Arabidopsis thaliana: one gene and its partner. The protein of the gene in region 1 interacts with the protein of each later gene in a pairwise test. Each region holds a gene or a part of one and is shown on either strand. Other genes may lie near its edges. The genes, in order: CARA and CARB.

Region 1 (5,133 bases):
CAAAACTAAAGATCCCGAAACACAAAACGTCACGCAGTTTGGATCTCTCCGAAAATTTAAAAATCCCAAAAACAAAAAACGCCACGCACTTTTGGTCATGTAATACAAAACAAAAGGGAACAAGTTTTTTGGCGGTAGCCAATACTTTGCAAATTACAGAATGATAAAAAAATTTAGATCTGTTTTAATCCGGTTTTTGCTTCAGATTCTTTTGTTTTTCATAACTTTCATTTCTAAATAACTGCATTCAAAGTAAATCCTAATTCACTGATAAATGATTGATACAACTTTAGTTTCAACTAGTGGACCATTGGAGGAAGAACGGCAAGGTTGTTCTCTAAGGCTCCAAGGTCAGAGAGCCAGAGTTAGAAACACCAATTGTTTGCTATGTGTTAATCAGTTCCTATCATCTGTTACGTTGAGCCATTTGAACCTCATTCTGGCCAATGGGGTTATCGAGGGTACTAGGATGGAGGATCATGAAATGTTCCAAGAATTGACCCCAAGTCACAAGAGTTTCCCAGCTTTCTTATATCAAAAGACACAAACTCTCACATCTCTTTATCTCTTTATTACTTTTACAAAATCTTACTTATTTTATAGGTTGGATGGTTGCTCAATACAGTCAAAGCAAAGAAACAATAATGCCAATCCATTATCACTAACAAAACAGTTGGTTTTAATTTAAGTGCCATGATTAAAAACAGCAACGTACAAAAACAAAGAGTACTTCTCATTGATCAGGAGCTTTGTTTCGATCTCTTCATAAGCTCTATGAACTCTCTAAATGCTGCATTCATAAGCAAAAAAATAATCACATTAATCTTCTGGTTTTTCAGTACGACTGAAGCATAAGTGTCTTTCACCAAGTGACTGGAATAAAGAGGACAGTTACCGTTATCAGAGTCGTGAGGTCCAGGGGAGGCTTCAGGGTGGTACTGGAGTGACATAACATTCATTTCCGGGAAAGATAGACCCGCACAGCTTCCATCATTGAGATTGACATGTGTTACTTCTACGCCTCCGGGAAGTGAAGCTGGATCAACCGCATAGTTGTGATTCTGCCAAGAATTACAGAAAAAAAGACAATGATACACCATATTTAGATTTTGTCAAGCTTGTAACAATGTTCCTAGCACAGTCGTTTTATCAGATAATTATCCGAACTTTGAATGTGGAAGTTCAAATCCTTAGTTGGTAGTATGCTTGGAATTAAATGGAACATTTTGAGGTTGGGTATTGGTACCTGAGCACTGATCTCCACCTGACCAGTTCTGTTGTTACGAACTGGGTGGTTTCCTCCATGATGACCAAACTTCATCTTGAAGGTTTTACCCCCCAAAGCTTGACCAAGCAACTGATGGCCCATACAGATTCCGTAAACAGGGACTTTACCGAGAAGCTCTTTAACTGTCTCAACAGCATATGGCACAGCAGAAGGGTCTCCAGGACCGTTGCTGAACAAAATCCCATCTGGATTCATTTTCAGCGCCTCGGCAGCTGGAAATGTGGACGGAACAACAGTGATTTGACATCCGTAAGATGAAAGGCGTCTTAGGATGTTTTGCTTGATTCCAAAATCGTAAGCAATAACCTTTGAATTCAAGAGACAAAGTATAGAAAGAGAGAGTAAGAAAAGTATAGAAAGAGAGAGTAAAAAGCATCGATAAGAGCAAAAGTAGAGAAGTAATACTCACTTTGTAGGATTTCCCATCTCGTGAATTCGTGTTGAAATCCCATTCAGCGTTTGTTTTGTCAACCCATTCATAGGGAGATTTACATGAAACATCACTTATTAGATCAATACCTACAAAGATTCAAAGATTCAAAAAAGCAGACAGAAGGAGTTCAATATTCCAAGTGTTATATTATAATTGCCAAAAACAGGAAATGGCAGGAGAAATCTGACCTACGATATCCCATGAACGAGACATTTGCAGAAGTTCATCATCTGTTTTGGACTGTTCTGTGCTCAACACCCCGATAAGACTACCATCTTCTCTTAACCGACGGGTTATTGCTCGAGTGTCAAGATCATCTGATAGTGTTTACAAAAACATCCCAAAATAGAGTAATCAGAGATGTTTTCAAATGCAACTTTATCTCATGCACAATCTAAATAGTATGTTGAATACAAGGAACTTACAAACTCCCATGATGTCCCTTTCGGTTAGATAATCAGCAAGTGTCTTCGTGCATCTCCAGTTTGAGGTACTGAACATTTCACAATTCAAGAAGTCAGGGACATTAAAATGGAGGATAATGGAAAGACACATCAAGGAAAATGCTTACCTAATGCTTAGGTTTCTTATCACCAAACCAGTAAGAAAGCATTGCCCAGATTCTTCATCATCTACAACAAACATTTACAAATGTAATAAGAAACATTGAGAACATAAGTTCCTAGTGTATACGAAAGTTTCGAAACTGCCACTTACCAGGATTGACACCAGTATTACCAATTTGTGGGTTTGTCATTAGCACAAACTGCCCAGCATAACTAGGATCAGTTAAAATTTCTTGATACCTTCCAAAAACAAACAAAATCTAAGATTCAGTAAGCTAAAATCAACAATCTTTGAGGTGATATAATGAAATCAAAGAACAAAACATACCCTGTCAAGGAAGTGTTAAACACCAATTCAGCAATACGGGTTCCAGGAGCACCAAAAGACTTAGCAGGCCAGATAGAACCATCTTCTAACACAAGCCTAGCATTGTACGAAGTCCAAGGTTTCTCCACAACACCTACGATGTGCAAAAATCAAAACTTTCACTAAAAGGTTTTGGCACTAATTCTTAAGACAGAGACTTTCTCGATCAAACGAAAAATCCAAGCTTTACCCTTTATTCAAGAACTAAAACCCAATGGAGACAATACACAATTTCATCAATTTTGAAACGGAAATGAAGGCAAAATTTACCAGAAGTGGGAAAAGTGAGTGGAGAAGTGGAGCAACGGATGACAGAAACCCTAAATCCACCGCCGCGACGGTCGAAGGAAGGCTGGGAAGATAAGCTCGTAGGCAAAACAAAGCCTAGAGTCCTTGTTGCCATGGCCATGTTGTTTTCTCTGGAGGAAGAAGAAGATCGAAGAAGAAAACGGCGTCAAGGTTTTTTAGGGTTGGTGGGTCGATAGCTCTTTTTTTGAAATTAATTCGTTGTTATTATTACAGTATCTTGCTTTGACTTTTGTTGACTTTTTTCTCTAGTAAATTTGGTCACATAATCATAGTTTTGTTGCTAAATAAAAAGGGATGAAAATCATAGTTTTGTTTATTATAAAAATAGAATAAAGTATCGAATATATGTCTAAATTTAATATTTAAATAATTATATATATAAATAGATTTTATATAAATTCGAAATAGAATAAATATAAGGTTAAATAAAAGTAAAAAAATCATATATTTATATTTTAATAAGGTAAAAATGTTTTAGGATATTAGTAATTAAACGAGTTAAAGAAATATAAGATTTAAGATAGAATGTTGCTAGCATTCTATCTTGATTTTTTGAAGACTGATTTCAGTTAGAATTGTGGCAACAAATATGAAGATTCCAGTACTTAGGTCATATGGTAAAATCACGCGAATTCTTAAGTTTTACAAGATCGAATTCGGTGGTTCTCTTTGTAACTTGGCTTTCTTTGCTTAGAAGCGATCCAAACCTTTTTTAGTAGTAATGTTGTATTTATTTTTCTGTAGATTATTTTTATATGTATTTTGTAATCTTTGTAATTATGTTAAAAATTAAAATTGGTATAAAATTTAACTTTTTAACAAAAAAAAAAACAATCTGAAAAAAAAAGAAGAAGATAAAGTCGTCAAATTGGTATAAAATTTAACTTTTTAACGAAACAAGAATTTGAAAAAAAAGAAGAAGATAGAGTCGCTCTTGCAAGTGTAATGATAGACTCGTGTAGAGAAATTAGCGGGAACAGAAATATAAACGACGCATAATTAGAAAGTATAAATTAATTAATTTTGTGTCACATATGGGCCTTTTATAAATTAATATGGGCTTGCCCAATGAAAGACCATCTCTCTCACTCACACAACCACACTCGTAAAGATTGGTGTGATTAATAATGGCGCTTTCTCTCAGCCAGACTCGACCACCAAGCCTTAGCCATAGCCATACCCTTAGCGTCATCGTTCCTAAGAGAACGTTCGTTTCGATCCGATGCGGTCCACGAGACAACCGCGGACCACTTCTCAAAGGCCGAATCCTAAGCACCGAAGCAATCCAATCAATCCAATCTCTCAAACGAGCTCATCGAACCGGTGTCTCCCTCTCCCTTACCCTCCGTCCTCTCCGCCGTCTCATAAAATCCGATCTCATCTCCGTCCTCCGTGAGCTTCTCCGTCAAGACTATTGCACACTCGCTGTCCATGTACTCTCCACTCTCCGTACAGAGTATCCTCCTCTTGACCTTGTTCTATACGCAGACATTGTTAATGCTCTTACGAGGAATAAAGAGTTCGATGAGATAGATCGTCTTATTGGTGAAATTGATGGAATTGATCAAAGAAGTGATGATAAGGCTTTAGCTAAGTTGATTAGGGCTGTGGTTGGAGCTGAGAGGAGAGAGTCGGTGGTTAGGGTTTATACCTTGATGAGGGAAAGTGGTTGGGGGTCTGAGTCATGGGAGGCTGATGAGTATGTCGCTGAGGTTTTGAGTAAGGGTCTCTTGAGACTAGGAGAGCCAGACTTGGCTTCTCAAGTCTCACTCAAATCTTCAATTCTAAAACCTTGAATTTTCGGGTTTTCGGTTTGGTTTGGTTCGGTTTTTGATTAAGTTCATACACTTTTGGCAAAGATTGCACTATATTCTGTTGCTATGGTTAGTTCTTTCGATTTGGTTCGAGCTGAAATCAATTCGGGTAGCGAAAAATTTACGAAATGGTTCATTGCGATATGCGAATTGGATCGGAAGTAAATAGTTTATGCATTGAAATGTTGTGGCGTTTACAATGATCTGTTTTGAAGATTTTAGACATATGGGGTAAAAAATTGTTTCTTTGATTGTTGTAACCCTTGAGCACTGACTCTTACGGGGCAGAAACTCTTGGATTCGAAATGACTTCAAGAAATGAGTTTGTATTTGATTTTGACGATTAATGCAAAGAG
Region 2 (6,991 bases), on another chromosome or scaffold:
CACCGCTGGACTTTCAGCTGATCCCGAGACATTCGCAAGGAACCGTGAGCTAGAAGTTATCCACAGCAGGTGGGCTATGCTCGGAGCCCTAGGCTGCGTCTTCCCTGAGCTTTTGGCTAGGAACGGAGTCAAGTTCGGAGAGGCGGTTTGGTTCAAGGCCGGTTCACAGATCTTTAGCGATGGAGGACTCGATTACTTGGGAAACCCTAGCTTGGTCCACGCTCAGAGCATTTTGGCCATTTGGGCCACTCAAGTTATCTTGATGGGAGCTGTTGAAGGCTACAGAGTCGCAGGAAATGGGCCGTTGGGAGAGGCCGAGGACTTGCTTTACCCCGGTGGCAGCTTCGACCCATTGGGTCTTGCTACCGACCCAGAGGCTTTCGCGGAGTTGAAGGTGAAGGAGCTCAAGAACGGAAGATTGGCTATGTTCTCTATGTTTGGATTCTTCGTTCAAGCCATTGTCACTGGTAAGGGACCGATAGAGAACCTTGCTGACCATTTGGCCGATCCAGTCAACAACAACGCATGGGCCTTCGCAACCAACTTTGTTCCCGGAAAGTGAGCCAAGTTTTATCAGTTTGTATTTTGCTTTTCTTTCAGTCTTTTGAATTCGAGTGAGAGACATGAGGAGAAAGAGAAGGTTGTATGTGATGGTTTGAGACTTTCAGATGTAAATTTGCAAGACTTTGTATGATTTGTCATTAATCAAACTCAATTTTCTCTCATACTAGTCTCGTATTAACTAAAATTCAAATGGAATGTTCTTGGGTTCGCTCAAATGAAGAGGCTGTTTCTACAATTGCACAATCTTATAGAACATAACTCGAGTTTAAGCCAAGCGTTACATGACCTGATACAATCAAAGGCTTGTGTATATCTGAATTAAAGGAACAAAGCCGATTGATAAATCACAAGTTTGCTGCATTTTCGAAGATTATTCATAGAAATGCTTATGGGTAACAAAATCCGTTAAAATTTATCGTAAAAAAGTTCCACACAAACGATCAACACACAACAAAAAAACTAACTCAGACGAGCAAAGAAGATACATTCTTTACCTCAAAGAAGTCCTGAAGAGCGGTCATTTTAATGGCACTTGACTTCAAGCTCTTGATTCCCTCAGCAGTGGCCAATGCACCAGCAACAGTGGTTATAACAGGTACCTTGTATGCTAGAGCCATTTGTCTGAGCTGTCTCCCATCTTTCTGATCAAGAGCATCACCCGAGCTTGTGATCAACATCAAATGGATCTGACCATTCGCCACCATATCAGCAGCATGTGGTCTTCCTTCATGCAACTTCAACACTCTCTCCACTGGAATGCCTTTCAGTTCCAGGAAATGAGCTGTTCCCGAGGTGGCAACTATTTTGAACCCAAGCTCGAGGAAGGACACCGCGATTTTCTCCAGGTGCGGTTTGGTCATATCGTTTAAGCTGAGGAAGACTGTGCCTGATAGAGGTAGCTTTTGACCTGCAGCGATCTGAGCCATTGCAAACGCACTTGAGAATTCAGAACTGATGCTCATCACTTCTCCTGTGCTTCTCATCTCTGGCCCGAGTATCACATCGCATCCTTGGAACTTCTCAAACGGGAAAACAGCTTCTTTCACAGAGACATGTTTAGGGATAACTTCTTTTTCAAAGTTAAGATCTTTGAGAGATTTGCCCGACATGACCAGCGCTGCATACTTGGCAAGAGGGTGTCCAATGGCTTTTGACACAAAAGGGACAGTACGGGAAGCTCGGGGATTGGCTTCCAGCAAAAAAACATCCCCAGATGTTGTGATTGCGTACTGACAGTTCATCAGCCCACATACATTTAGCTTCTTCGCCAGCTTAGTGGTCCATGTTCGAATAGTTTGCAAACAAGAAGCTGGGATGGTTTGTGTTGGAAGCATACAAGCTGAGTCACCAGAATGCACACCAGCTTGTTCGATATGCTCCATTATTCCACCAATCACCACATTTCCATAGGAATCAGTAAGGGTATCAACGTCGATCTCAATGGCATCAGAAAGATATTTATCTACCAAAACAGGTCTCTCTGGGTCAACTTGTACCGCATTTTCCAAATAGGTTATTAGTCTACTGTCATCATAAACGATCTCCATTGCTCGTCCACCTAGAACATAAGAAGGTCTTACCACAACTGGGTACCCTACCTCCTTTGCTATGGCTAATGCATCAGCTTCGCTCTTTGCAATGCCTCCCTTGGGCTGCTCAATCTTCAGCTCGTCGAGAATTGCATTGAACCTCTCTCTGTCTTCAGCAGCGTCAATGGAGTCAGGTGATGTACCCCAGATGCGAACAGGTCCCGCTCCGCTCAAGCTCATGGGCATGTGCTTATCCAAATAATGTTTGATCGGCAGAGCAAGTTTCAGAGGAGTTTGACCACCAAATTGCACTATTATGCCATCAGGTTTCTCAAGGTCGATAACATTGAGAACATCCTCGATTGTGAGAGGTTCAAAATAGAGCCTATCGCTTGTATCATAATCTGTGGATACTGTTTCAGGATTTGAGTTCAACATTATGGTCTCATATCCAGCATCCTGCAAATAAATTAAAAAAAGTAGATAAGTAAGTTTAGCATAAAAAAGTTGAAACAATGTTTACTGGCTTTTGGGAGAGACGCTTAGATTGTCTAAAGACATACCTGTAAGGCGAAAGATGTGTGGCAACAACAGTAATCAAATTCAATCCCTTGACCAATGCGGTTTGGCCCTCCACCCAAAATCAAAACCTTCTTCTTGTTGTTTGGAGCTGATTCACATTCAACATCATATGAAGAGTACATGTATGGTGTATGCGCTTCGAACTCTGCAGCACATGTATCCACTCTCTTGTAAGATGGAACAACTCCTAGAGAAATCCGCTTGGTACGGACTTCTTCCTCGGTTGTCTTTGTAGCAAAAGCGATTTGCTTGTCACTAAATCCCCGCTTTTTGACTTCGTAAAGGTCTTCTTTTGTAATCTCTGACAAGGTTCCGGACATAAGATACTGTTCGACGTCCACGAGCTCTTTAAGCTGGGTTAGGAACCACTTGTCCACCATGCTCAACTCGTAGATTTCATCAATTTTCATACCCTTTTTCATGGCAGCATATATCGCATGGATCCTGTCAGGATTTGGGACTCTTAGGCTGTATTTCAGCTGATCCCAGTCCCAATCTAGCTCTTTAATTTTTGCACAACCCCAACCCGAGAATCCACACTCCAGAGACCTCAGAGCTTTCTGGAAAGATTCTTGGAATGTACGGCCGAGAGCCATAGATTCCCCAACAGATTTCATCTGGGTCGTTAGCAATGGCTGAGATCCTGGAAACTTTTCAAATGCAAATCGAGGAATCTGCATGGTAAAGAAATAGATATCGTTAAGCAAAATATGCATTTGAGTTTATATATCATGAAGTGGATAGATGTGTGTAAATCTTCAAAGTCAAGCGTATCTCATTTCGCAACACAAATAAAGCCAAAAGTATGGAATGACAAACCTTAGTCACCACATAATCGATGGAGGGCTCGAAGCTAGCCGGTGTTTTCCTCGTGATATCATTAGGAATCTGATCCAAGGTATAGCCAACAGACAACTTGGCAGCCATTTTAGCAATGGGAAACCCTGTAGCCTTGGAAGCAAGAGCAGAAGATCTTGAGACCCTAGGGTTCATCTCTATGATCATAACTTCACCATCAACCGGGTTGACAGCAAACTGCACATTAGATCCACCACACTCAACACCAATCTCCCGTATAATCGCAATGGAATAATCCCTAAGCCGCTGGTACTCTCTATCCGTTAGAGTCTGTGCAGGTGCCACAGTGATGGAATCACCAGTGTGCACACCCATAGGATCAATATTCTCAATGGAACAGATAATGACAACATTGTCAGCTAAGTCTCTCATCACCTCAAGCTCATATTCTTTCCAACCCAACAAGGATTTCTCCACAAGAACTTGACTTGTCGCACTCGCAGCCAAACCCGATTTACATATAGACTCAAACTCCTCTTTGTTATACGCAATTCCACCACCAGTACCACCTAAAGTAAACGCAGGACGGATAATCAAAGGGAACTCACCAATTTTCTCAGCAATGTCAAAACACTCATCAAGAGTGGTCCCAATCCCTGAAGGTGGAGTCTTTAGCCCAATGTTCTTCATCGCATCCTTGAACAACTCACGATCTTCAGCTTTCTTAATCGCACCAAGCTTAGCTCCTATCAATTCAACACCGTATTTCTCCAAAGCACCACTCTCAGCAAGAGCAACCGCGAGGTTCAATGCGGTTTGACCACCCATGGTTGGTAACAAAGCGTCAGGCCTCTCTTTCTCAATAACCTGCTCGACAAGCTCAGGAGTCATCGGAGCGATATAAGTCCGATTAGCAGTTTCCGGATCAGTCATGATAGTGGCAGGATTCGAATTGATCAGGATAACCTCATAGCCCTCTTCTCTTAAGGCTTTACAAGCTTGAGTACCAGAGTAATCAAACTCACAAGCTTGTCCAATGACAATCGGACCAGCGCCGAGAATCATAATCTTCTTCAGATCGGTTCTCTTGCCGACGATCTCCGGAGAAAAAGGCTTGGTAGTGGTGTCGGCGAGCTCTGAGACGGGTTTGAGAACATGCGTGAGGGAGCTTTTCCGATTGAGACATGGGGGGAAAGTGGAGAAGGAAGAAGAAGACGAGGCTTGTTTTGGTTTTGATCTGTAATAGATGGCAGAGCGAGAGAAGAAAGTGGAATAGGAGAGCTTGGAAGGAGAGAAACGAGGATTGGATTTGGAAGAAGCGAAAATGGAGGAACAATTGGAAGAGAGTTCTAAGCAATGGTTTCTCATTTTTGCTTCTTCTTCTTCTTCTTCTTCTAAGTTTTGCCTGTGTCGGCTCTGTAACTGGAGACTGCTGCAGAAGAGAGTGAGACACGAGAGAGAGGGTTTTAGGGTTTCTCGAAATTTGGATTATTCCGGTTTGGTATTTATTTTGTCTTTCTCAATCCTGCTGTATTTGATTATGACAATCCATTTTTTCAACAACAATTATTGGGAAAATATGATAAATGACATAAAAAGATAATTAACTCTTCCAAAAAGTTGCAAAGAGAAATGATTTTTTTTTTTTTGGTTAGAATGTATCATTTCGTCATTTATGGAATCGTATCCATAATATGATAGATATTATGTCTCTGGTTTAAAAAAATAATTAAATTTTTGGAAATTAGAATATTATTGTTTTATTCAAGAGTGTTTAAAATATAAAATGGTGTTATAATGAATGGAGTTTTATTGGTAGTAAATCCAATAAATATTATTTGATATAGATTTATTTCATTAAAAACAAATGTTATTCGTGTCATGTTATTAAAGTTATACTCTATATGACTTTTAAATATAGTATATATTCCAAATCGGTTTTAAAATGAGTAAATAAGAAAGTCAACGAATTACAAAACTAATTACCGCATTTATTTTGTAGTCAATGCGGTCGCAGGTACTTACTGCTTTTGCTTTCGCTCAGATCATCAACTCTTCTGCTGACTTTACAGTAGATTAAACAGATAATGTACTATATATAACAGTCGCATCTGGTAAGGTTTCCTTAAACTGCAAACTTTTCTAGTACCGCATGTCCTTCTCTATAGAATCAATCTTTTTAACTGTATATAGTAGTATTATATGTGTTTGCACGTTTGATATAGTAGTAAAAGCTTTTTTCTCTGTGCAACTAACTTTAACTTTGTGTTTCTCAGGTTTGTGACGTCTCTTCTGTAATGGAAACATTTGTTCAGAGTCGTCATCCTTTTTGATAATGGTGCAACTGGACAATAAGGGATCAGGGACTAGTACAAAAGTTAATGTGGGATCAAGAGAAGAATAAGACCGATAATATATAAACAAAATGATATCGCAGCCATAGCAATCACGTTGTGGAGCAGCCGTTTGTCGTCTTTCGTGGGTATGAAAACTGATTTTAATGTATTGGTTAGCTCGAAAAGTCGAACAGATACCTGAATGAAGAAGGAAAAAAAAAGTGTAAGAAGTAATAAAACGATAAAAGCATAGAATGGTTTTACCGATGCTTTTTTACCAAGACGTAGATGGCCGTGGTGAGCATGAAGTTGAGCATTGGGTATTCTGGGATGATTGATAATAGCAACTTTGGCTGCCCATTTGGCACACTCGATCTGCACCACATTGAGAATTATTGTTATACTAACATATGTTAACCATAAAGGCTTCACTAACCACATTGTGAAGTTTCTTTATAATAACATATGCTTCGATTTGTAGATCCCACTAACCTTAACCAGATGTGAAACTGTGAAATGTAGGTCTCGAGAGTTATCTTGCCCAGCCACCTAGAGAGAGATCATGGTCAAAAAGCTGTGTGCACTGTGAACAAGAAGGTAACAATAAGGAATTAAGAGATTGAGAATCTTACGCAAAGAGTGTCAGGGAAAATCTCCGTAGCTGTTGGGTGCAATTTCGCAGACAGATGTAGACACTGTTCCAGATTTAAAACCAAAGGTCATAAATCAAGAAAGCATATTATCTCAAGATTTAGCATGAACCATGAAAATGAAGAAAAGACAAAGTTGTTGGTACTGACGTTATTGGAATCCAAGATGTGTAGGGATGATATTTGTTGTACGTAACCTTGTCCAGCTTGTAGATGTATTCATACCAAAGGTAACCAGCCTGAACATTTGGAAACCACGACACAAACATCAGAATAATTGTGGAGAAGACTATATATGATGAACCAGAAGCCGAGAAAAGCTAACAACTCACGAATGAAGAAATTCCTATTATGCTTGTCTTGATTGACATCCTTCTCTTAGCATCACACTCCTCCAATTTCTCCATCCATCTTTCTACCTGAAATCCCCAATATATTTAGTTGCGTCTTTCGAGAGGAGATATGGAAAAAATGAAAGCACCATGGTTCTGGAATTACAGTGGGATGAAAATATGCATATATCATGCCGATG

What was found.
Region 2: the proteins of CARA (region 1) and CARB interact in a two-hybrid assay, tested with the Arabidopsis thaliana proteins (one large-scale study listed by BioGRID).

The regions. Positions count from the first base shown.
Region 1 is NC_003074.8:10,280,730-10,285,862, forward strand, and holds CARA (carbamoyl phosphate synthetase A), read right to left. Parts: upstream 3,207-5,133; 5' UTR 3,064-3,206; coding exon 2,925-3,063; intron 2,749-2,924; coding exon 2,616-2,748; intron 2,528-2,615; coding exon 2,439-2,527; intron 2,354-2,438; coding exon 2,293-2,353; intron 2,215-2,292; coding exon 2,147-2,214; intron 2,039-2,146; coding exon 1,910-2,038; intron 1,808-1,909; coding exon 1,698-1,807; intron 1,595-1,697; coding exon 1,247-1,594; intron 1,062-1,246; coding exon 896-1,061; intron 791-895; coding exon 741-790; 3' UTR 501-740; downstream 1-500. Other genes in the region: EMB3123 (PPR containing protein), read left to right, coding at 4,091-4,759; AT3G27770 (plant/protein), read right to left, coding at 5,089-5,133. UniProt on the Arabidopsis thaliana protein: Small subunit of the arginine-specific carbamoyl phosphate synthase (CPSase).
Region 2 is NC_003070.9:10,466,014-10,473,004, reverse strand, and holds CARB (carbamoyl phosphate synthetase B), read right to left. Parts: upstream 5,050-6,991; 5' UTR 4,842-5,049; coding exon 3,495-4,841; intron 3,350-3,494; coding exon 2,657-3,349; intron 2,553-2,656; coding exon 1,029-2,552; 3' UTR 794-1,028; downstream 1-793. Other genes in the region: CAB3 (chlorophyll A/B binding protein 3), read left to right, coding at 1-562; RWA4 (O-acetyltransferase family protein), read right to left, coding at 5,852-6,007, 6,088-6,184, 6,302-6,358, 6,442-6,504, 6,610-6,698, 6,792-6,878, 6,958-6,991. UniProt on the Arabidopsis thaliana protein: Large subunit of the arginine-specific carbamoyl phosphate synthase (CPSase).